Kluyveromyces lactis: one gene and its partners. The protein of the gene in region 3 interacts with the protein of the main gene of each other region in a pairwise test. Links are inferred from orthologs where the notes say so. Each region holds a gene or a part of one and is shown on either strand. Other genes may lie near its edges.

What was found.
Region 1: the proteins of RRP43 (region 3) and SKI6 interact in binary tests that used the Saccharomyces cerevisiae proteins (3 or more experiments, as listed by UniProt). The link is inferred for Kluyveromyces lactis from reciprocal best matches to the Saccharomyces cerevisiae genes RRP43 and SKI6.
Region 2: the proteins of RRP43 (region 3) and NIP7 interact in binary tests that used the Saccharomyces cerevisiae proteins (3 or more experiments, as listed by UniProt). The link is inferred for Kluyveromyces lactis from reciprocal best matches to the Saccharomyces cerevisiae genes RRP43 and NIP7.

Annotation. Positions count from the first base shown.
Region 1 is NC_006040.1:807,931-816,261, forward strand, and holds SKI6 (exosome non-catalytic core subunit SKI6), read right to left. Parts: upstream 6,581-8,331; coding exon 5,843-6,580; downstream 1-5,842. Other genes in the region: divalent metal ion transporter SMF2, read left to right, coding at 1,273-2,940; FYV8 (Fyv8p), read left to right, coding at 3,304-5,766; GPI14 (glycosylphosphatidylinositol-alpha 1,4 mannosyltransferase I), read right to left, coding at 6,899-8,107. UniProt on the Saccharomyces cerevisiae protein: Non-catalytic component of the RNA exosome complex which has 3'->5' exoribonuclease activity and participates in a multitude of cellular RNA processing and degradation events.
Region 2 is NC_006038.1:198,013-206,608, reverse strand, and holds NIP7 (ribosome biosynthesis protein NIP7), read right to left. Parts: upstream 4,858-8,596; coding exon 4,312-4,857; downstream 1-4,311. Other genes in the region: MRH4 (ATP-dependent RNA helicase), read right to left, coding at 1-1,563; signal recognition particle subunit SRP72, read left to right, coding at 2,092-4,008; pseudouridine synthase PUS1, read left to right, coding at 5,434-7,095; RSM23 (mitochondrial 37S ribosomal protein mS29), read left to right, coding at 7,452-8,596. UniProt on the Saccharomyces cerevisiae protein: Required for proper 27S pre-rRNA processing and 60S ribosome subunit assembly.
Region 3 is NC_006039.1:315,247-324,314, forward strand, and holds RRP43 (exosome non-catalytic core subunit RRP43), read left to right. Parts: upstream 1-5,051; coding exon 5,052-6,191; downstream 6,192-9,068. Other genes in the region: putative ubiquitin-specific protease UBP12, read left to right, coding at 1-3,327; RBK1 (putative ribokinase), read right to left, coding at 3,487-4,488; KLLA0_C03542g (elongation of very long chain fatty acids protein), read right to left, coding at 6,478-7,539; SNT1 (Snt1p), read right to left, coding at 8,108-9,068.

The DNA of each region.
Region 1 (8,331 bases), on a different chromosome or scaffold from region 3:
GTCATTTTGACACGTAAACCATTTATTTCATTTTTTTTTTCTTTTGAGATCTTAGACAGACAATGTCCGCACAGAATGAGATATGTTTGTTCCTAACGGTGATGTGTCCATTATACCCTGCCTTCAGTCCCTGAGTACCTGCACTAACGTCACGTTTATCCATGCAGTTGGCATGATATTTTGGGATCATCAAATGTAGATCACACAGTGTCAAGATTGGACGAGCATAGGGTTTTGGAAAGAATATAATGATGTATTATCGAGCTGGCGCATACATTACTGTCCTTGGAAAACTGAGTGAAAATGCTTCCATGACGTTCTATTTGGACAAAAGGTCTTAGGACGGGTAACATATATTTCATATGGCTTATTTTACCGCACGTGATATGGAAACCTTGAAGTTATGTGTCTTGACATAATGCTCCGGGACCCGTTACCCTTACATTTAGCCTCGGCCACGGTGCCTGATGTCGAAATATAAACAAGTCTATATGTGTATACCGATAGCTGCTCTGAATTGGGTACTGTGGAGGACGTATGATAACAAGGATACCAGCAACGTTCACATGATTCGTCTTGGCTGAATTTTTCAAACCCGGCATGAAAACTATGCAGTCACTTTCACCTTTATCTCGCAATTCATTTTTCATACAGGCTTAAATGATCTGAAATTTTAACTGTCTTTTTTTTTTCTTTGGGATTAAAGAGGTACTTGGAAAATATATATAAAAATTATGCTTACAGTTTCAATTGTTCACTTCATCAATATTTAATACTCAACATGATGTGTGAGATTTGCAATCCTTTTATACCACTAGCATTCCATTAATTTGAAGCTGATATTTTCGATCTAGACCATTCTGTTTTCATCATACTATTATCAATAAGGGTGTGTTGGTGTGTTCAAAGAAACCTGGTTTTCTGGCTCGATTTTTTATTAGTTGCACCTATTCAGTTTCTTTGCCTAGTCTTTTCATTGAAACCTACTGAAAAGTTCAAGTGTGTCTAGTTTGGCTTTTCTGAAAACAGTTAATTGCACTTTATTGCTTAACCATCTTTTTGAGTTCACTACCGATTTCAAAACTGCTGTGCTAGTGTGACGGACACATTCCAAGTACAGGTCTTCAATCCATTCTTTTTTGTTCCCCGCACCATTATCAAAATATAAGAAAGTGATATACTCACCATCTGGACCTACTTCGCTGAACGTGTACTGTCTTCTGATAAATACAATCAAAAAAAAAAAAATATATTACCCAAGTATAACCCCGCATGTCTTCTTCTCTTCAGTTTAAAAAGGTTGCAGGTAGTGATGGGTCTTCTGCATGGAACACCAATGACCAGCAATATAATGCGTTCGTTCATGAAGGAGATACTGATACTCCGACTTACGTTAAAACATTCCAAAACTGCGTTCGTATATTGAAGAAGTATGCCAGGTTTGTGGGTCCCGGATTAATGGTTTCCGTTTCATACATGGACCCGGGGAATTTCAGTACCGCTGTGGCAGCAGGTTCTGCGCACAGATATAAACTTTTATTCTCTGTTCTGGTCACCAATATTCTAGCAGCATTTTGGCAATGCTTATGTGCTAAGTTAGGTGCCGTCACCGGATTAGATTTGGCTCAAAATTGTAAAAAACATTTACCTCCGACCCTCAATTTGGTTCTATACGTGCTAGCTGAAGTGGCGATTATTGCTACTGATCTTGCGGAAGTGGTTGGTACAGCAATCTCCTTGAACATCCTTTTCAAGATCCCGTTGCCACTAGGTGTCATTTTAACAGTAGTGGATGTCTTGGTTGTGTTATTGGCATACAAGCCTAATGGATCCTTGAAACTTGTACGGTGGTTCGAAGCCTTTGTTTCGTTACTCGTGTTTGCAACAGTGGTTTGTTTCGCAATCGAGTTATTCTCCGTCCACATCGACTCTGTAGGTGAAGTGTTTAAGGGATTCCTACCGTCAAAAGCTGTTTTCGAGAGTGATGGTTTGTATCTAAGTTTGGCAATTCTTGGAGCTACAGTTATGCCCCATAGCTTATACCTCGGATCAGGTGTTGTTCAACCAAGATTAAGGGATTACGACATCAAACAGGGACATTACATTCCATCACAAAATGATGAAGATAATAACCATGATAATTACAAACCTTCTATCGATGCAATCCACGACACATTAAATTACACAATGGCTGAATTATTGGTTTCATTATTTACTGTTGCCCTATTTGTTAACTGTTCGATCCTAATTGTAGCTGGTGCCACTCTATACGGGGTAACTTCAAACAATGCGCACGAAGCAGATCTTTTCTCCATCTATAATCTATTATCAGAAACTCTTTCAAAGACTGCTGGTACAATTTTTGTCTTGGCCTTACTATTCTCTGGGCAATCTGCAGGTATTGTGTGTACTCTAAGTGGACAAATGGTCTCGGAAGGATTCTTAAATTGGACTGTTGCTCCAGCATTAAGGCGTGCATTGACGCGTGTTGTTGCTATAACACCATGTTTGATTTTAGTATTGGTGGCCGGTAGAAACGGTTTATCAGGGGCTCTCAATGCCTCACAGGTGGTTCTCTCGTTACTATTACCATTTGTGAGTGCTCCATTGATTTACTTCACTAGTAATAAAAACATTATGAGAGTTCCTTGGGCTATAGATTGTTCTCAAGAACCGTCAAACTTATTTGCATTACAGAATTTGTCTTCCAGTAACTTAGCCACAGATGATGCTACCGTTATTGCTCATGATACTGATGATGAGGTGGACGCTCATCTAATTAATTCCCCTGAACCTCTATCAGATGAGTCTGTTCATTACAAAGATTTCAGTAACAGCATTTTCACTACGGTTGTTGCTGTCATTGTATGGATCTTCATCTCCGGTTTGAATTTCTATTTACTAATATCTTTTGCTAACGGTCAGGACGTCCATTTGTAGAGTGATTATTTCTTTCATACTAAAAATTAAAAGATATATATATATAAATGCATAGAATATTAGTCAAATTTCACATACTGTACGTATTATTACTGGCAACATTACTCCACCAGTATTTTCATCGAGGAAGCTTACCATATTTGTTTTAATATACATCATCCATCATGGTACCTTACTTTAAAAGATTTGACCTGTCTCTGACACATTTATTTTTCAAATCTGCGTTTCAAGGTAAATTTCTTGTGATCTTCGTGTCAATTTAGATCATTCTTTTAAGAAAAGTAAATTAAATAATAAACAAAAACCTTGGGATTAAGTTTAAGCCACTTTAATGAAAGTTAAGGACATCAAGAGGATTCTTTTATGGACGACATAGCAAGGCAACACTATCAGGATAACGCGAAAATGAGTGATAACATTACTAGGCATAAGTCCCAGAGATGGGTTAGCGCGTCAAAGGCAAACTATGACGGTGCTGATTGGGATGCCTATTCATCTAATTCTGAGGATGAGGGCCTAACGAATAATATTCCGCAACTACCACAGGTAAATATTCCTGAATCTAACAACATTGCAAAATCTAGCTCACCTGATCCATCAATTGGCACCTGCCTAAGATCTGACTCTCTGAATACATCTGTAAGATCAGGAAATAAATCTGTCAATGATGATCTAGATTCTCTAATGCATCAAATATCTCAAGAGATGACTGCAAAAGATGAGGACGTTAACAATACCAGTGATCCAGAGGATGAAGATGATGCAGAATTGAAGGTATCGAAGACTGGCTATTTTGCCGCATACGTAAACGATGAAGATACGGATGACAGAGAATCTGTTAAAAGTGATATAGAATCGGCCAAGCTAGCTGAATCTGCTACGGAGATTAACAAAACAGATAATGCGAAAGCAGAATCGGTTAGTGAAGTTGAGTCTGTAGCAGAATCAGTTAAGAGAGCTAAGGTTGAAGTTGAACCTGTCCAGATTGTGAATGTTGGGGAAGAATCCTTTAAGGGAGATGATTCTGAAGCAGAGTCGGTTAAAAGAGCTGATGTTGAAGTGGAACCTTTCAAGATAGTCAGTGCAGAGGAAGAACCCCTTAAAGGAGATGATACCGAAGTAGAACTTTTCAAGAATGCTGCTTCTGAAGTAGAAACTAGCCAAATATCAGTGGAGTTGCAAGACGAAATGATTGACCCAACAACTGAAATTCCTTCTAGAATACAGGGTGATGTTGCAATTTCAGATGACAAAGGCAGTAAAGACGCGGTAGATGAAGATAACTGGTCCAAATCAGACAGTCATCCAGAATCAATTGGAAGTCAAGATAAAGAAGAGATGCCTCCAAGTTCTATTAATAGTCTTCCGTCAGAATCCCAGTTGTCTATTCAACACTCAAAAGAAGGAGACAGCAATGATTCTGATTCACTGCTAAATGGTTATGGTTCAGAACCAAGTTTGATGAAAGACAATGCGTCGCCTGTAAAGCTTCGTAAAACATCCAAAACAGACCTGTCATATCACGACGGGTATTCATCAGAGTCTTCTGGCGAAGAGAAGGAACGTGCTATTTCCGAAGTTAGCCTGGGACAGTATGTTGTTCATTCTGCAGAATCTTTTAAATTCAGAAACCCTGTCAGGAACTCTGTTCTCGATTCAAGCGATGATGACATAGATTATACTGATGAGGATGGAGATTTAGAAGTCACTAAAAGTGGCTATTTCGCTGCGATGGTTGATGAGGACAAGGAAATCGACGATTCAGATAGGCATACATTGAATAACAACGATACAGATGGACTGACAGCTGATAGCGATGTTAATTCGATAACGGAGAGCGTAACGAAACGATTGAGTCAATCCTCTATAACCCAATCGGACGTTCCAGATCAGAATTCTGAAAATGACGTCGGAGGATATTCTGACAGCTCTGAAGACGAGGAAGACGGCCCACAGAAATTAGCATTCTCAACCAGGGAGTCAATCAATCTAGGCAAGTGGAAACCAGACACCGATGCATTCCGATCTGGTTTTGTTACTGAGACCATCGATATCAACAATCCTCCCGAAGGATACACCGTAAATGAGGACGGGGAAATTGTTGAAGTGAACAAAAACACAACATCCAATATTCAACGCAATTCATCGGTAGCATCAGACGGAGAAAGTCAATTTAATGCTTTTCCACATGACGTTGCATCAGATGATGACGACCTCAAGACGATTGCTGACACTAAAACAATTTATGACAATCAAACCATATATAACGTTCCTGCTCTGATTGCCAATAATGCATCTGCTCCGGCTCTCCCTACGAACATACAAATTACCAATGAATCTACTGACTACGTTTCTAGTAACGATACTATATTCAAACACGTGAACGGTGAAGCTCCAAAAGGTGAATCAAAATTAAAAGAAGCATTCAGTTCTGAAGGAGATGAAATTCCATCAGTGGTTCACCAGTCAACTGTCCCGAATCTAGACTTGGTCAAGCTTTTAAGCAGTAATGAGCTTCACTCCCAAAAACTAAAAAAATTAAACAATTACAAGGAACAATTAAAAGAATATGACTCCGGACTCCAGAGCTGGATCCAATATGCTTTGAAGTCTTCTACCACATCTGATAAGGATTTTATCTTCAAAGACTACAAAGTCAATAAACATGTTCAAGATGCTTATGCTCAAGCGGATATTTTGAGTAAAAAGAACAGCGTCGCAAATACGGTGAACCAAAATGTTACACATTTGAAGAAGAAGATGTTTTCTAGCAGCATGAGAGAAAAATCTAAGGGGTTATTCTCATCTATAGGTAAAAAATTGTAGTTAAAGGCAAGATCCGAATTGTAGAATGCATTTATGTTTACATGTTATGTGAAGTTTATAATTAATGGTTTAAAAATCAATTCGAAGAGTTTTCAACTCTTGTTTTTCCATGCTTTCTAAGCTCCTTATCCATTAAATCTCTAATTCTGTGAGTGCCTGCTATTCCGATGGCCATGACACTCTCAAGTCTATCCAAAGGCACTTTATCTTCCACCATTAATAAAGATAATTTTTCTGATTTACCAATTGTGCCTATGGTAACACTGCTCATTGCATTTTCCTCAAGCGAGTTAAGGTCTAGTAGTGGTGTAGTATCATAAAGTCCCACTGAAACCCCGCTTACAAAATCATACATTGCGATACCAGCATCTATCAGAGCCAATGTTATTCCATTAAGCATTGCCCCAAGAATCCCACCATCTAACTGTAGAGCATGAACTTGAACGTCAATTGACGTACGAGGATAGAGATGAAGCATCAAGTTCTTTTCAAATGTACGCACTAACGAAGCTTGCCATTCTAAGGTTCTTCTTTCATTCTTATGGCTTGATTTGCTTCTTTCCATCTTGGCAAACTTCGTTAAGTTAATAGTAACGGATAAAGTAGCTTGTTTCGTATTGACTTGTGACCTCGAGGATGGTTCTTGAGGACCAGCAACTAATGTGATAATCTTATTGTTACCTTGTTCCAAGTACGAGGATCCATCTGCAGCATTCGGGTGAGTGTTGATGGAACAGTTGAAACTTCTTAGCTCATTCCAACGACGACCATCGACACGCAATCCCTCTGGAGAATATATTTCAAAACGTGACATTATGTTACTCTGTTAGTTAAAGTGGGTTTTCCTACACGCTAGCTGGAGGGGCTAATTTCAATCTGACAGCCTCTGCTTTGAATGTACTTCTTCTAGTAGATGTCGATGAGCTCATATTTCACTTGTAAGATTCAAAACTTGAATACTTTTTTTTTTTCAAATTCTATTTCAATAATCAGTATGAAGAAAACAGCAGCGAGTGAATCTGACAACGGATATGAAATTGGATGAACGGAATGGAACATCAAAATACTCGTCAGGACTTCGATCGTGGCTTTGAAAATGTCACAGTACGCTACAGTATATGCTAAGTTAAAATTATATATTCTTCTTATGTTGATTGTCTTGGAATGACGTTCTGGATTTGATGTCAGTGATAAAGACACCGAGTAGATAGACGTTGATGAGGAAAAACACTATATTGCCAAAGAATAAGTTGGGGAAAAATACATTTTGGCCTTTGAATTCAAGTAGATATGCTTGTGAAAGCCATACGGCTTGAGACAATATCCATAAAAATATACAGACCACACCTTTTCTCCATGTAATGGTTGTATTTGCGAAATAAAATGGGGATAATACCAAATACCAAATGAAATATTGAGAAGTGCATACTTTATTGAAAGTAACGAATGCGTATGTTTGTACGAATAGGACATTCATTAAATTTTCGAACGTCTGTGATTTCCACAATAGATAAGGTAGTACTGCACATAGTGTCAATTGAGGAACGAATGCCAGCTTAGATAGTTCGATAGATTGGGAAAGATGAATACCAGCAGATTCTAAGAGTAAGACCAGGTTCCAAATCGAAAAATTGTGTCTGTGGTCTGTTCTCGTGAGATGGTACATGTACGAGTGTTCGATAAATTCGCTCCCGTAAAGCTTGTACATGAAATACGTCGGCGCAGTTATGCCGATTAGCGTCGATATCCCTATCATGAACAATCGCCAAATGCAGTTTCTATTGTGACTCGACAACAAGAGATATATTCCGATCGGTAGCGCATAGATTATCGGATAGATCTTGAAATGAATCGATAACCCATAGAAAAGTCCTGAAATAAGTAACCTGTCTCTTTTCAAAAAGTATAAAGCACATATGATCAAAAAACATAAAACCGATTCAGCGTTTCCTCGAGTACTTATCGTTATAACAATCGGGTTCAATAACCAAATAGAAGCTAGAATTAGCTGTTTTGTCAATTGACATGAACCTTGTAATAGTTTTATGATCATCACACCTGTAATGAGATCAAATAAAACAAAGAAGACTTTCCCCATATGAATCCACTTTAGATAATAATTGGGTAGTAACAAGAAGCTCAATAAAGGTGTGTACCTGTATGTATCACGCAAATAAGGGGATTGTCCATTGTTAACGTAACCAGCTGCATCATGAAAGACAAAGTAATCGATATCAGTATATTTAACGTCAAAATGCGAGTCTTGGAAAATACCGTAAGAAAAGAATCCAATTCGAAGTAGTAAAGAGACTGTTAATAATAAGATTACTTTTCTATGCATTTCCTGTTAGTAAAATGGCGGGCTTCAAGCAAGCAAGCAGTCGTTATGATCTTCAGATATGATTTTATTGTTCGAAATGTGGTTCCCCAAGGTTGGTATGTAATGCCAAAATCATGGCATTATGTTGAAAAAGTACAATTTAAATATAAAGTCACTTAAAGGTTTCTCGGAGAATCAAAGATGATTATAAGTAAGATGGGAAACCGATGAAGAGAACACCTAAA
Region 2 (8,596 bases), on a different chromosome or scaffold from region 3:
ACCTCTTGCTAGAACATCTGTCGTTACTAGAACCTTCAAAGTGCTTTCAACAAATGCTTCATTGTCTTCTGGTATTTCTTCAATCACAATATTTGAGTTGGGTATCTTCATTGTTACTGTGTTTTCTGTAGTCACTTTTTCTGATTTACGGGTTGTCATCTTCTTAGGAGGATCCATGAAAGGTTTGATTTTTTCCAGACGTTCTTCAACAGAATCATTACCGGTCAAGGCAACAACGTCGTGTCCATATTGGTTGGCTAGTTTAGTTGCGACAAGTGGAACATTTTCTTTCTCATTCACGAAAATTACTACCCTTTTTTCGAAACCAGGGTCGATGTTGTCTCTATTAATTGAGTATAATATTTGAGCCAGAGCTTTGGTCTTTGATCCCTTGTATGGGGCCATATCTGCGTTAATTAATTTGATTTGATTCTTGTGATTAATCTTATGAAGATTTGGGGAAGCAATTACTCCAACGGTAGGGAATAATCTGGTGATCGTCTTTTGGAACTCTTTTGGAATAGTAGCCGAACAGAACAAAACGTGATTTAAGTTTTGCATGTGCTTTATCGTGGAATAAGAGTCTTCGACCCATGATTTATCCAAAAGTGTATCTGCTTCATCCATGACTAAAAACTTCACTTGTGAAAGGATTCTGTCGGGCCTGTTCACCATAGATATGTTAAACAAACTTAAGATCTTTCCTGGGGTTGTGACCATGATATCAATTCTACCCTTCAAGGCCTCAACGAATCCCTTGTAAGAGGAACCTGCATCCCATTTATACGTGTGCATTCCGAGTGCAGGTTCTAGTTTAGACACTGTCTGGTATACTTGTTCTACAAGTTCATGAGTTGGTAACAATATTATGGACCTAACGATGGCTTTGTCTTTCAAAGTTTCCCATGAAGGATTTTCCATTTCTGTTCTCTTAAGATAATCCACCAAAGGAATCAAATAAGCCATAGTCTTACCAGAACCCGTCTCTGCAGCTATAAGACGGACTTGTAACTGAGGGTCCATTAAAGTTTTAGACGTCTGGTAGATAGCAGTAGTCTGGATTGGTGATGGTTTCAAATGTTTCTTGAATTCTTGTACATTATTCTCTTTTGGATTATACTTCACGTCCAGTAAATTCTTATTTAGCAATGATTCGCTTGAAATCACCTCCATAAGTTTGTCCCTTACCTCTGGTAAAATCTTCAACTGACTGAAATCATTTATCTTAGACACTAACCTCTTTGACCTTTCCAATATCTTTGGATCGCCTTCCGATAGTTTCCCATACTCACCATACTGGAACTGCTGTTGCGTCTGCTCTTGTGAGGGCTTTGCGCGGGAATCGCTCCTCGAATGTGACCTGTGATCACCTTTCCCATTACTTTTCCTATTCTTCACCGGCGGTTTCGCTTTGGTGTTCCATCTCGTGTCTGCTCTGGGCTTCGATCTTAAATTGGACTTGATACTGGAACCTGAATTCCGTGACACCGCATAACCTCTGGAAGCCAGTGAAATAAAGCCCGATTTGGAGGCGTATGGAAACCTTGAAAATACCGGCTGCATGCTCAACGTTTAGTTACTGCTTAAAGAGTCGGCCTTATGGTCTCTAACCGCATCTCATCTCATCTCATCGCTCGATTAAATATTACATTTCTATGAATGCAAGACTTTTTACATGTACAATAAAGAAAATATGCGGAATTGTCTGAGGAAAAATTGGTACAAAAGGGAAATTAATCATAGTTAAACAGAGTTCTACTTTGTGAAAAAACATTTCAACATTATCATTAAGACCTGCAGAAACAATTGTAGCCAAATATGCTAGCATAGTTGAAAAAAGAGAACTACATTGAGGTTAAATCCCTTATTTAGTCATCACATCTTTTATTTCACATATGCTCATCCAGATCTTTGCCATTTTTTTCATTCTTTTAACATTGCAACAATGAAAAAAAGTTGAAGAAAAAAATGGATTATCGAAATTCACTTCATAGGGACCAACGAATAGTTGTCTCACGATAGAGATCCATCGACTCATTGCTATCGTAATTGAGGAATTTCCGAAGGAAATAAGCTCTACTGAAAAAAGTAATGTCGAACGCTAAGGATTTGGTTTCTTTGCTTACGAAGCTTAATGTAAAGGATGAAAAAGTGCACATTGATGCCATACAGACAAAGTACGATACTCTCTCGAAGACTCTCGGTGAAGAGGAGACAAGTAGAGCTATTCTCAACGAACTTCTAGATTCTGAGCAATACTCTGCGATTATAAAAGCTCACCGTAAGATACCTGTTCTTTTTTCCCCTAGTGCGACCGCAAAGCCCAATAGTTTTTCAGCTTACGAACAATATGCTTGTTATAAGGTGGGTAAGGAAAAGAAATTTGCATCTGATTCGGACGTATCCCTTATTGGAGATGAATTGATGAGTCTTGAAACTCTAACAGATTCCCAAAGACAGCTTTTGCACATATACGCTCAAAACTTGTTAAAAAAAAAGAAACCTAAGAAGGCGTATGAAGTATACCAGAAATTGCTAGCCATTCCACATGAGCTCGATAATACTGCAGAATTGGCATGCAATAAAGAAGCTGCTCTTTCAGAAATTCCTGAATTGGTTGGAAATGTTACTCTTGATAAGGAATTCGATACATACGATATCTCGTTTAACAAAGCATGTCAATTGTGTTCAATCAGGAACCATGAAGCTGCACTAGAGTATGCAGAAAGAGCATTCAACTTAGCACAAGAAGATGATGCAGCGGTCGAAGATTTAAGAGCAATTAAATTACAAATTTCATATATACACCAGGTGCTTGGTCACAAAGAAGAGGCTAAATCACTCCTCAAAGAAATAGTCGAAAATTCCGCCGATCAAAATGACTTGAATACTGTACTTGCCAAGGCCAATTTGAAATCCTACGTGAGTATCTCAAAGTTTAAGGATAATTTGCCTTTATTATTACGTGAACTTGACACACCAACCCTAACAGGAAAACACTCGCAATTTTCATTCCAACAAGCACAAATTATCTCTAGCAACATTGAACTTTTGAAAGTGTTCAGTAACAACAAAGCTGGTAAAAATAAAACAAGTGTCCATTCAATTGCCAACAAGTTCTACACTGAAAATGTGGGTAACGTTTTATATGAACCCTATGAAAACCAAGCTGATGCTCTATGCAAGAAACTAGATAGGTCTGCCAAGGCAGAAATAAAAAACGAACAGAAACTTTTGATTCAAACATTGGTGTGTGTGCAAGTACTAGTTAAAGCAGGAAATCTGGATAAAGCTTTGGTTGTAGCTGAAAAAGTTTGGAATCATTTCCCTATGGAAGAATTATCTAAATATAAACGTATTCTTTCCTATGTTTTGCTAAACTTATACGATGCTACTAACAGGTCTTCTTCAACTTCAAAGCATTTATCGAAGCTATTAAGATTATATTCAGAGCAGGTTCTTGAAGAAGATGTTTCTTTCTGGGAGTTCATCGCTTTCAAATTTTTAGAACAAGGCCAAACTCAAAAGGCTGAGCGAATTTTCAGAGCACTCGCTGCCAAAGATAACAATTCTGCTTCTGCAAAATACATCGCGAAAGCAGACGCCAGCGACCTTGGTGACTATGTCGATGCTAATGATATCAACGGAGTTATCGTCGATGTTAATGTTGACTCCCTCCTTAATGCAGGAATTTCAGTATTCGAGAATGGTAAGAGTAAATCGTCGGTGATCAAATCAACTCCAAAGAAGAAAAGAAGAGTGCACAAAAACAAGAAACTACCAAAGAACTTTGACGAGTCTAAGAAGTTGGATCCTGAAAGATGGTTACCGTTAAAGGAGAGATCAACTTATAGGGTTAGCAAAAAGAACATTTCTGGGAAGAACACTCAAGGTTTTAAAGCATCTAAGGCTTCAGAAGCCAAATTAGATATCACTAAGAAAGCCGTGAAGAAGCCAGCAGGTAAAAAAACGTCAAATGCTAAATCTAAAAACTCGCGTAAGCATTAGAGGGAACTAACAACATATGTACATTCATTTTACTTTTAATTAATGTAGTTTTTCCTGCGATATCAAATATCAGTCGTCTTTGATTTTAATTTAGACAGTCTTTGATGAAGATGTGAGTATTATTTGTTCCGTAATATATCATAATATACAATATCGTTGATAAATAACAACTTTTTTTTGAGGTGGGAACATCGCTGAATTGCAGTTGCACCAGGGGAAGGTTTTGTTCTATCCAGAAAGTGAAATGAGTAATAAGTTCTATATATGTAACAAGTAAGTGAAAATGTACTTTGGAGTATTCGCCTAAGTAAACAATGTATCTTCATCTCTCAAGTACTCACCAATATCTGCTTGTCTGAATGCGACAATACTGGTTGGTTGAAGATCTCTGGACTCAGAAGTGCTCTTAGCACTCACACCGAATCCTAATGGCACATCATGCATCGAAAATACGATTACACCTGCATGCTCTGGAATATCATCGGACATCTTACCAACGTGTGCCTTCAAAACGTGGTTACCGTATAGGAATGGCATCTCACCATTAGGTTTGATCCACACTTTGTACTTAGCGTATTGCGCAAGTACTGACAAAGATGTGATATGCAATCTAAATTTCCCAGTCTTGGTAAACTTCCCCATGCAGAGACCCAATGACATCAGGTTCGGTCTAGCAACTGAAGTAGCTAAATTGGCAATGTGCTCTGGGACATAGTACACTCTATCCTTCTGTAGTCGGAAAACATGAGGTTGATCTTTATTATCCACCAAGTACACTATATTCCTTCCAATGTACCCTGCTAGCTTCTCGAAGATTACTTTCGTCTCTTCCTCTGTCAATTGTCTCATTGCTATTATTTCGATACCTGATTCTGACCGGCTTTGAATTCAATACAACAGCTTCGAATACTATTTCGTAGAGTACTCATCGCTTCAGGTATAGCATCATCTTTTATGCGATGAGCTTCAGTCTAATAATGATGAAAAGAAAATTTGATGCTGCCCTTCAAGATACCAGGAAAAAGAAACAAACAAATCACGTGATACTGAGAAATATATCTAATAACCTTCGTAAACGCAGTATACAGGTGCTCAAACCTTTTACAATCGATACACTGGGCTCCAGATAGAGGTTAACGCACATAATGAGTATCCAAATGGATAAAATGAGCTAAAGAAATATGTTATTCCTGTATTCATGATTTTCTTAGATCATCGCTGACCTCTTTGCTGAAAAAATATGATTCTTCATACAAATCTTGGAAAGTTTAAACTTTTATCAACAGCTCATCGCTCTGATTGAAAGTCTCAAGGTTGAACGTTGAATGCTAAATTGGGCTTTTCTATTCTTCTTAAGGCTCAATCAGACCTACCACTTATCTATCTGCAGAGGTGCTTCAATAGGGAAAACTAGAAGCGGGTGTTATGAGCGAAGAACAAAATTTGAGACCGGTTTATGATGATGATCAACCTGGTGAAGATACTTACAAGAGAGGCGCCATCTACAAGCAGACCAGATCACGGAAAGCTGACTATGAGGATGGTGAGAATTCTGAAAAGCGTCAGAAACCAAACGACACTGATAATGGGCCAACCGCTGTTGTCACAGACCTTTCCAACGAAAAGAAAGAGACTCGATCCAAGGATAAGGACGAGTCAGTGGCTTTAGCTGTGGATGCTGATGGAAATCCAATTCCCCAAGAAGTTCGTCTACCCAAGAGGAAAGTAGCAGTCATGATTGGGTACTGCGGTACTGGATATCATGGAATGCAATACAATCCACCGAACGACACCATTGAAAAGGAACTGTTTGAAGCCTTTGTTAGAGCTGGTGCGATATCCAAGGCAAATTCGACAGATTTGAAGAAAAACGGGTTTCAACGTGCGGCAAGAACCGATAAAGGTGTTCATGCAGGTGGGAATGTGATTTCATTAAAGTTAATCATCGAAGATCCCGAAGTCAAAGAAAAAATCAACAACGAATTGCCGGATCAGATTAGAGTTTGGGACATTTCCCGTGTCAACAAGGCATTCGACTGTCGGAAAATGTGTAGCTCTAGATGGTACGAGTATCTGTTACCAACTTATTCACTGATTGGCCCAAAACCGTCTACTTATTTATACAACGAGATTGAAGCTAGCAAGAAGGAAATACCGAATGTTATCCAAGATGATGTAGAAAGTGCACAATTCTGGGAAGCATTCTCTACTGAGGCTGAATCTAAGTTTACCAAGGAGGAATTGGAAGAGATTGCAGCTTTTGTCATGCCGAAAGATTCTTTTGATGAAAACAATGAAACTTATCAAAAGAGCAAAGCATTCAAGAAACTCGAAGCAGAACACAAGAGAGCCTACAGAATTTCAAAAGAACGTTTAGATAGATTCAGAAGTGCATTAAAACAATACGAGGGTACTTTTAACTTCCATAATTTCACCTTGGGGAAAGATTTCAACGATCCGAGCGCCAAGAGATTCATGAAGCAAATCACAGTCTCAGAACCGTTTGTTATTGGTGAAGCTAAGACGGAATGGGTATCGATCAAAATCCACGGTCAATCGTTTATGTTACATCAAATTCGTAAGATGATATCTATGGCAACTTTGATCACAAGATGTTTCAGTCCATTGGAAAGAATTAGGCAGGCATACGGTCAAGAAAAAATCAATATTCCAAAAGCCCCTGCTTTAGGTTTATTATTGGAAGCCCCGGTTTATGATGGTTACAACACTAGATTACAAGAATTCGGATATGATCCGATTGACTTCAGTAAATATCAAAGCGAAATGGATACGTTCAAGATGAAACATATCTACGATAAAATTTACCTTGAAGAAGTCAATGAAAACGTCTTCAACGCCTTTTTTTCGTACATCGACACCTTCAACCCTTCATATAATATTAGCCAAGAACAACAGCAGCTGAAGGGGCAAGAACTACAGCAACCCTCTCAAGCAGTGGAACTTGTTACCGAAGATTTGGAACAAAAGGCTCCATCAGATCCTACTCCATCCGACGAAAAGGGCAAAAAACCACAAAGGCCAATCTTTGATTTCCTCACAGCAAGAGGTATCCAACTACAGGATTAAGATCTTCTGTCCGACACCATTTATAGCATTGCGTGTTTCGTTCTTCCCTTTAATAGATATACTTCCATAGTTCTTAGTGTTTTCACGTGACACGTATATTTTATTTTCTCTTAAGCTTTAATGATTTCAATATCTGAAAAATTTTCGAAATTTGAACTACTTCAGTAGCAGGCAGACTTCAAGTGACATAGATAAAGAATAACAGAACTACGTGAAATAATCCACTTTAATAAGTCAATTTGTGTTGGTTTTAAGAATAATTACAGAAGTGTGATTTAGTAAAAAAGAAGCTATATTAGTGAGACGGATTTCACTTCTTTTTAGAGATATCCGGACCCGTAAGATATATTTCGATCATGTTGAGAATACATACCAGACAGTTCTCCTGCAGTGCTGCAGTAGAGGCTGCAGCTAAGAAGAAAGCCCAAGGGTTCGCTAAGGCTCAATCAGGAACTAAGGCAGCAGCCAAAAGAATTACTCCTGGTTCCATGTATAAGAGATGGCAACCAGCTGTTGCAACGGCTAATTTACATAAAAATGCAACTTTTGTCGATCTGCCCATGTTTAATCCTAATAACATCAGTGCCGCAGATGTCCATTCTTTCTCAGAGCAGCAATTACAATTCTTGTATCGTCTGGGTTCATTCAAGCAAAATCAATTCAATGAATTGTTCACACGTCCAATATCACTAGTTAGAGATTCCACCACTAGAAAATTGTACGAAGCCTTACGGAAGTCAGAAAACAAAAAGCTTGTTCTAACAGGTGAACCAGGTGTGGGTAAGTCTACTCTACTGGCCCAGCTACATGCTCACGCACTAGAAAACAAGGGACTTGTGTTAACTGTTTCCAACTCCGAACTTCTTACAAATGGTAGAAATGACTTCTTCTTGGATGAAGACAGATACATTCAACCAATGTACATCAAGAACTTATTAACCAAATTTGTCAAATCCAACAAAAAAGAATTATTGCAATCCATTAAACTCTCCAAAGACTATAAATTAGTTCACTCTGGGGGTAAAGACCTATCTGTGAAGAGAAATGTGAATTTATCTGCAGGTAAATCCACGTTATACGATTTACTAAGTGTCAAGGCACCATCTCGTCACCGTGGAGCCGTTTTCGATGCATTCATTAAAGAATTAACTAACCAAACTGATCATCCGGTCTATTTCACTGTTGATAACTTCTCCCATCTTTTGACTACACCATTCACAGCATATAAAGACACAAGCAACAAAAATATTCATATTTTAAAATTCCAGGTTGGTCAATCTATTTTTGATTTAGTCTCTGGCGATTTGCAATTCGCTGCTAAGGACAGCTGTGTTGTTTTGGCTACTTCGGGTTTGGATAGAACCAATAGAACGTTATCAATTGGTTTGCAAAAGCTTCCTCACGATCCATATTTGACCAGATACCACTATGAACAAATTTTGGCCGAAAAGTTACTAAAGGGTAAAGTACAGGAGTTCGAAGTTACCAAACTTAATAAAGA
Region 3 (9,068 bases):
GCAGTACCAGCATCAATGTTCACTTTACTTCAACAATGGTATGATTTGACCCCTAATTCGAAACCTATTTCCACATTCATTGTAAGAGACGCAAACAACCAGTTGCTTGTCGAATATGACAGGCCAAGGTGCAGAATACATCATTTGGTAGCTGGAAATGGTAATGCAAATATTTATCCCGGATCCAGCAGACATAGCATTGACCATAAAATCCCCTTAATGTTCACAATGTCTAGGTTGGCAACAATGAAAGATGTTATCCAAAGGTGCTTAGAAGTTTTCTATGCTAAAGAACCACATCTTGACAAAAGCTCCCTTACCCATAGAATATGGTACATAAATGAGCGCGTTGCAGACCCTAAATCTACACAAACTTTACTGAGTAACTATGTGTTATCCCCTTCTGCATTTTTGGAGCTTCAGACTAAACACGAAATTACTAAATCGATGTATTCACGGCAACTCAAGGATTATGATTCCCAAATAATCAGTTTGGTTGTTGAAGTTAAACAGAAATCTTCAAACCAACATTGGCCCTCCAATTTTTTCCATTACAACAAATTGAATGCACCATCGGGAATTATGGGGTTGTCAAATTTGGGAAACACTTGTTACATGAATTCCGCATTACAATGTCTATTGCACATACCGGAACTCAATGAATACTTTCTTTACAAAGGCTATGAACGTGAAATTAATATCAACAATCCCTTAGGACACAAAGGTGACGTTGCCCATGCATTTGGACATCTGTTGTATTCACTCTTTGCACCTTCGTACGGTCAATCTACGTTTTATGCTCCCAGAAATTTCAAGAATACGATCGGTCACTATAATTCCCTTTTTGCCGGTTATGGTCAACAGGATTCTCAAGAATTTCTAGCATTTTTATTAGATGGTCTACACGAAGATCTCAATAGAGTGATCGAAAAGCCATACGTGAACAAACCAGAATTCCCAAATGATGGTCAAATAGATGATACAGATCAAATAGTGCTGTTGGCAGCCAATATGTGGGATTACATTAAAAAACGGAATGATTCAGTCATTATGGACCTTTTCGTCGGTTTATACAAATCAACACTTGTTTGCCCTAATTGCAACCATGTATCAATCACATTCGATCCATATAACGACTTGACATTACCTCTTCCCATTGAGAATTATTGGTCGACAAAGGTTACGATTTTTCCTCAAAACTCTCCTCCTTGCACCTTAGAAGTTGAACTATCTAAAACATCTTCTTACAATGACCTCAAAGCATATGTTGCTCAACATGCAAATATGCATGCGAATGACTTAATAGGCGCAGAGATATTTAATCATCAATTCTACAACAACTATGAATCGAACGTCGAAGCTGACTATTTGCCAATATCCGAGTTAATATCAGAAAGTGATACTGTTATATTTTACGAGGTTCATAGAGGACAAGATGATCTTGTTGTTCCGATCCTTAACACACGTTTTGAAGAAGGTTTTAAAACACCGAGGTTGTTTGGATATCCTTTCTTTATTGCACTCTCGCAAGCCGAACAATTCAGTTATGGTGCGATACGAAAGAAAATCGAAAAATGTTATCAAAACTTCTCCGGAGGATTTTCTGAGTTCCCCATAGTAGGTAAGACTAAGATGCCAGATCTCTCCTCCATGCCTTTATTGGAGAAAAGGTACAGTCAATGTGAGATAGAGTCAATTATGCCTGAATTAGAATATATCAATCCGGAGATGTCAGTCGATGAGTTTTTTCAACTGAAAATCTTGAAGGTTGATTCTGTCAGTTCGAATCGTAGAGTTACTAGTTTTTCTGGTGTTTCACTAGGACAGACTTCCGATGAGCCTAACTCACAAATATGGATACCGCCTACAGCATCCTTGATAACCTATAATCACAGCGAACTGATACGCAAAGCTCTCCCAGAGGCTATTGAAGCAGCATATTACTATTCTGATATGTTATCAAACGAAGATGATATTCCTAATGATCAAACAGTTTCGGATACTGCTAATGACCTTGCCACAAAGTCCTACACCAGTCCCAACCCCGAAGAAAATGTGACAAGTAGTGCAGAGGCCCTGGATGGAACATTGCACTTAAAAGTCAGTCCATTGTTAGATGTCCACAATGCGATTATTTGCGAATGGGAGGCTGTCAAAGTGATTAATGTTTTTGATGAAGATAATGGAGTGAACTGGGATCATCCAGCAATTCTTGAAAATTTGAGCTTGTCAGAAGTCAGAAAAACAAGAGCCCAAACAGAAAAATCAAGTATTACTCTCGATTCGTGTTTACGGCTCTTTTCTCAACCCGAAATTTTGGGCTCAGCAGACTCTTGGTACTGTCCGAATTGCAAACAGCATACCCAGGCTTCTAAACAGATAGAATTATGGAATACTCCTGATATTTTATTGATACATTTAAAGCGTTTCGAAAATCAGCGATCTTTTAGTGATAAGATCGACGCGACTGTTAAATTTCCAATAGAAGGTTTGGATATGTCTCCTTATTTATCTTACAAAAAGGAAGGTGAAAATGATGTTTATGATTTGATTGCTGTGGACAACCATTATGGTGGTCTTGGAGGTGGCCATTACACCGCATACTGCAGAAACTTTATTGACGGCAAATGGTACTATTTTGACGATTCCCGGGTTAATGAAGTATCTCCTGAAAATAGCATTGCCGGATCTGCTTACTTGTTATTCTACAGAAGACGCACTTCAGGGAACCAAACTCTTGGCAATGGAAAATTGCGGGACATTATTGATATTTCTCGGAAAGAATATGAACAGAAACAGGACGAGTTTATGACAAACGTGGAAACATTATACGCTGCAACACATACAGACACTGAGAGTGAAGCATCAGATTCGGACAGGAGCTCAGTTGATGAAGAAATGGACTCTGACAACAGCGACTGTGAAAATGATAAAAAATCAGCATTTGTTGATCAGAGCGATATTTCAAGCAATTCTTTAGGTATGGACAACTTAACATACAGTAACAGACCTTCAAAAGATAACACTATTCATACTTCGAAGAATGCAAATGGTAGCATCGAATCTACTTTGAACAACAATGAACTACCTGAAGCAGAACAAACGGTTACAGCAACAGAAAGAAAAGGAGCTCTACAATACAACGTATCGAGCCTCGAGGTTGGCAGTAATATTGCGAAATTAGATACGCATGACTCTTCGCGGAGAAAGCTTAGGCTTTTAGATAAAATATATCTTCCAGATTCCTCTAACCTTAACTCGAGTACAGATTCACTATCACCATGTATTTCCCACACAGAATCATCTTCTAATAATAACGAATCTTAGATTGTTCAGAATACAACATCACCCTTATTGAATTTCCTGGCCAGCAGCGAAATTTGCATACCGCACGAATAAATGCATTGAATCTTATTAGAAGCTCATTTTAGACAAATACATACCGAAATATAGCATTGACATTCGTTTATACGAACAAACAAACTATCACTCTATTTTATTAATAACCTCATCGTATAGCGGAATTGTTTCCGCTGCACCTTTTCTCGTAATGGTTATGGAACTAGCTACAGTTGCAAACTGTATAGCTTTCTCTAGATCGCGTTTTTGATATAATTGAGATACTACCGCTCCAAGGAAGGTATCACCAGCCGCAGTAGTATCAACAACTTTCTCAACCGCTATTGAAGGAACGTGACCTCCTTTAACGTTTTGCTTAGAGGTAAAAACTGCACCGAATTCTCCCAAAGTTATAATAACAACCGAGGAATTTGATGTGTTTATCAAATTACTCTGATAATACTGCGCTAATTCTAGGTATCCCAGCTTGAAGCTCTCCGCAATTCTCGATTTGTAGTTCTCAACCACGGCTTCACCATACAGTGATTCGCCAATTTGAATGGCTTCAATTTCATTAACAATTAAAATATCAACAGATTTCCAGTCTTCTACTTTTAATGCATGAAATGGAGAAGGGTTGAATACTACCTCAAAGTTTGGTCTATTTGCCTTTATCCAATTCATGATGGAAGGAGGATCAGGAATTTCATGTTGAAACACAATGAATTCTTTGGCGTTATTTTGAAACATCACTTCAAGCTGCTTATCAGAATACATAGTCTTACTGTTCGCTCCTGCTGTAATCATGATTCTATTTTGTCCCTTAGCTTTTTCCACTATAATTACTGCAACACCAGTTGACTCGTCATCAACCTCTTCAACATATTCTGTATTGATGTTATGATACTGCAATTTTGATAGTAGTTGATTTCCAAATGAATCAGAACCTACGTGGCCAACCATCCTAATGTTGCTTGTCTGGTCATCAGATGGTTTGGTTAATTTCGCGAGCGAAATGCATTGATTCAACCCCTTACCACCAGCATGTGTTTCAAACGAATCCGCAACGAAGGTCTCTCCTGCTACCGGAACACGCTCCGTATACGTGACCAAATCAAAATTTAACGATCCCACGACAACTATGCCCATACTGTTGTCTTGTTTACTTTGGGGTCCAAGCTCTTTATGTCGCAGTTAATGCATTGTATATACTGTCAAATCCTGCATATAATTCTTATCATTTCGTTTCAGATGTCCATAAATAAACCCAAAGCAGAGAACAAAACGGTACCTTTTTACATTTAAGCTAATTAAAAGTAACGAAGATGTAACGTACCACTTGACATCTATCCCACCTTTCGCTGGATTAGCTGTTATTTAGGGTATATCACATCAATATATCGGTCACGTGAGAATTATATTCTTTTAAGCAGCCTAGGGAGTCCGCAGATCTATTCAGAACCTTGTCACTTAAGAATTGAAAGGCATAACCAGTATACTGTATCGATTCCTGATAGTGTTCGACCCTCTCAGGGGTTTATACCAGTGTTTTCCATCCATTATTACTGCATAAATCTTTCAAACCTTCATAACGTCAAGGATGTATAAAAAAGTGAAAAACTTCAACTAGGTCTTTTACAAACGATTATAGCTCATCGCATGGGCTTAAGGATGGAGGAACTCCGCCAAGGAGTTGCTACAACCGATCAAGTATGACTGAAAGTATTGATATACATCCAATAGTTTTCCCACCCGAAGTTTTAGCTCGAATTTCGCCTGACATCTCCTTACAAAGACATTTGTCTTTGGAAACTCGACCATGTTCAAGAGGATTCGAAGAATTCAGAGATGTTGCCATTAACGATGGTAATATATCTAGGTACAGTACGAACTGTCAAAATGCAACTACAAATAACATTATTGGTTCCAGTCTTCTACGCTCTGGCAAGACCTTTGTGATAACTTCGATAACGGGTGGCATCATTGAAGAGACATTACCGGCGAACAATACTGAAGATGTTGGAGAAGAAGAATTGATGAAGCTTTCAGAAGATACTGATAGGCTCTGCGAAAATTCAACTATTTATCCCGTAGTAGAGGTACAACGTGGACGTGTTGGTGGTCCTACCGATGAAGAGATGATCACTTCAGAAAAGCTATACAAGACACTCTTACATTCTGGAATTCTTAAGAAAACAGCTTTGGCTGTATCGTGCGGTATTCGCAGGACTGAAGAAGATGGAAGTGTCACCACAATATACAGTGACGAGCTACTCGATGAGGAGAAAAAAATTAATGAAGCAAACAATAGGAAATGGTCCTATGTGCTTTATGCCAAAATACAAGTTTTCAGCCGTAACGGTCCAATTTATGATCTCTGTTGGAATTCTTTGATTAGTGCGCTAAAAACAGTGCAACTACCTAGAGCTTTCCTAGACGAACGTGCTGCTGATTTGAAAATTGCTATAAGAACCCGAGGTCGTAGTATGACAATTCGTGAAACATACGACATCTTATGCGACCCACACAAATCTTTACCTTTAAAATTGAACGAAGGAGAATTATGCTATGGTTCAAACTACGGAATCATTGACATCGAACCTTTAGCACAATTGGCCAAAAATGATGACGAAATGGACGTGGATAAACCAACTTCAGTATTATTAGCGGATATAGAAACAGAGGCCGAGGAATCATCAATTCTATCTACATTGTCCTTGACAACGAACAAAAATGGTCAATTCAAGGCTGCAACAATCATCGGAGGTGACTCTAAGATCACACCTGAAATGATAAAAAGGTGCATATTTTTATCTAAACAAAGATCAAAAGATATTGAATCCAAAGTTTAGTTGTGTAAGAAGCATATCGATATCTTTATAATACACGACATATTCAAACTTTCTTCAAAACAAACGTCAGAGTAATCTTGAACGTCAATCAATAGTTACTTACAAAAGAGGCTAAATTTCTAGTTATCTACGTGAGTTCTCTTTCGTACCAAATCATGACAGGAAACCTATTGAAGGTAAAACATCCATAAGAAAATGTAACATAAATAAACAAGGATGAAGAGAAGAGAATAAAAAATGATAGCGTGTGTTGAATATTACAACGTTTACATGCAAAAACATGTATTTATGCCTTCTTAGATCTAGTATTTCTCTTTCTTGGAGCTGGAGAAGGAGAGGGAGTACTCACATTCTTCAAATCGACATTCACATATTCGTTAACCTTAGCTGCAACACCACCACGAACTCTTTTAACAACCTTAGACTTCTTTGTGCCTTGACGTCTGTACACTTCAATGTAAAATGCAATGAATAAAAATAAGTAAGAAGAGATGATGGCGCATCCAGAGAAAGTGGCAGTAGTCGAACCGACACAAGAACCGCAATGTGGTAGGCTTGGGAAATAATCAGTAGCAACCTTTTGCCAAACCGCGAAATAAATGAAGCATATGTCAACAACGAATTGGATGATTTGGAATCTTGTAACCCATTCTTTCCACCAAACTCTAATACCTCTAGCTGCCAAGAAGTAGTACCAGTACATGACAACGTGGACACCCAAGTTCAGAGAAATTGGAACCCATGATATAGCCGTGGTACCGACCAATTGAGTGAAACATAGTAACGCAGTAGCACCGTGGTGGTAAGTGTGCAAAAATGTCAATTTCTTGTGCTTCAAGACCAAGAATATAGTGTCGATAAATTCGATAAACTTGGTAATGTAGTTCAAATAATACAAAGTAACCAAAGGTTGTGTCCAGGCACCATAATTGCAAATAGCGTAGTACAAACCATGTCTGATGATCATTGGGGTTAACTGTTCTATCATCAACACGAGCAATGTAGAAGATAAAAGTGTTAAAAACAAATTGTGCAATTGGAATAGGAAGTTCAACTTGAAAGGTTCGCTGTTCTTCAAAACAGCACGACCACCAAAGATGACGAGATAATAAGTTGCAATAGCAGCCAAGACTGGGTATAATTCACTTAATGGTAATTCACCAGATACAAACTTGAATTGACTTGGAATGAATTTTCCATCAGTAGCCTTAGTGACAATGGCATCAAAATTGTTCCATAATGAGATATTGAAAAAAGGTCTGTCAACTGTTGGGACATAATCCATCACCACTGGATATTTCTCTACAAAATCTTCAAGGTACTGTGAAGTGTTTGAAAGTGCGGACATGTTGAAGTATTGCTACAAAGTATCAATGAAATGACAAAACAGCAGTATGTGGAATTTCTTGTGAGATCTTCAGATTGTTTTCTTACGTTAGTTGCCCAAATGTTATGCGGAACCAAGCGTTTTCAAAAGAAATGTAATAAATGAGCGACAATTAAATGGATAATCGAGAGCCAATCTCTTGAAGATAGTTGGAAATATGAAAGACAGTTCGGCGTTCTCTTCATCTTTTTATTCGAAAAACACGTCAGTGGTGTTCGATTCCATTTCATTATTTGGAAATGTTGACGTTATGCCAAATTTTGAAATTTTACCTCGGTTCGTTGAATGTGATATGATGTAGCGAGTTAGTGTCAGCAGAGGCTTGGAATCTGTAGAACCGACAGAGCAAGAGATGGACAATGGTGTGCTTATCTGAAACGAACTTTAAAATTTCAGTGCATTAAGTGACTAATTGTTACAAATTTGTGTACATAGATAGGATCTGACACGTTCATACATGTGAGCGAATATAAAAAAAATATGGCCTGAAACCAGAAGGCTGTATGATTGATAATAATGACAGTAAAATTCATTGGCGCTGTTGATTATATGTGCTTGAATTGATCTGAGTTTGGTGTGGTGATTGTTGATTAAGATTACTCGTGTTTGTTGTAGGCATCAGGCCGAACGCTTCAGAGGATGAAGCAACCGCTGCAAGTGCGGCTAAAGGATCGTTAGCAAAGTTAATCGATTGTGGAACTGCCTGCACGGTTGGAGGTGGATTCGACGGAGCAGGAGGCAACGTAGGTGCCAGAGCCATTGGCTTCGATAAATCATTTGATTGTTTCGTTGGTACATTATGAGATAACTCCTGAACAATTACTTTGGAGACAACCGAATCACTTCCCTTAGAGGGAGGAATTGATGGAGGAGAAACAGAAGCATTGCGCATTGGTCTTAAAATTGGTAAATTTGATGGCCCAATCGGTGATGCCACAACAGTTGGTGATGTGTTTAAGATCGTATTAGTTTTAGTTTCCGAATCTTCGCCATCGTTCAATAGGCTTCTGATTGAAGACCTCCTACTGGAAGTAATTGTATGTGATTGTACTGGAGCATGATGAGTTTCAGAAGCATTCGCAGAAAAATGAACAGAGGGAGTTTGTGGTTTGCCAAGGTTCGAATAAGCATTGGAGATTGAGGGTTGAATTTCAGGAAGTTTATTAGTATTCAGTCTTGGAAGAGTATGTGGAACACTGAATGATGTGATAACAGGTGAATGCTGGGGAGGCAAACCTTGGGTTGGAGTTGGTAATCTCGAAAAACTATCTTCATTTCCGGTTAGAGAAAAGGATGGTTTGTGAATGGATGACAATTTAGAATCATTGAAAAATCCAACAGCAGGTTTTTGTTGCTGCGGTATCGTTTGTAGCGGAAGTGGCTCAATGGATGGTTTTTCCGCAGGCTTATTAACCGTTGCAGGCGAAGGCAATGAGTTCACGATAATAGCTGAACTCACATTGGGAGCCGGAGCAATAGCAACGGGTTTG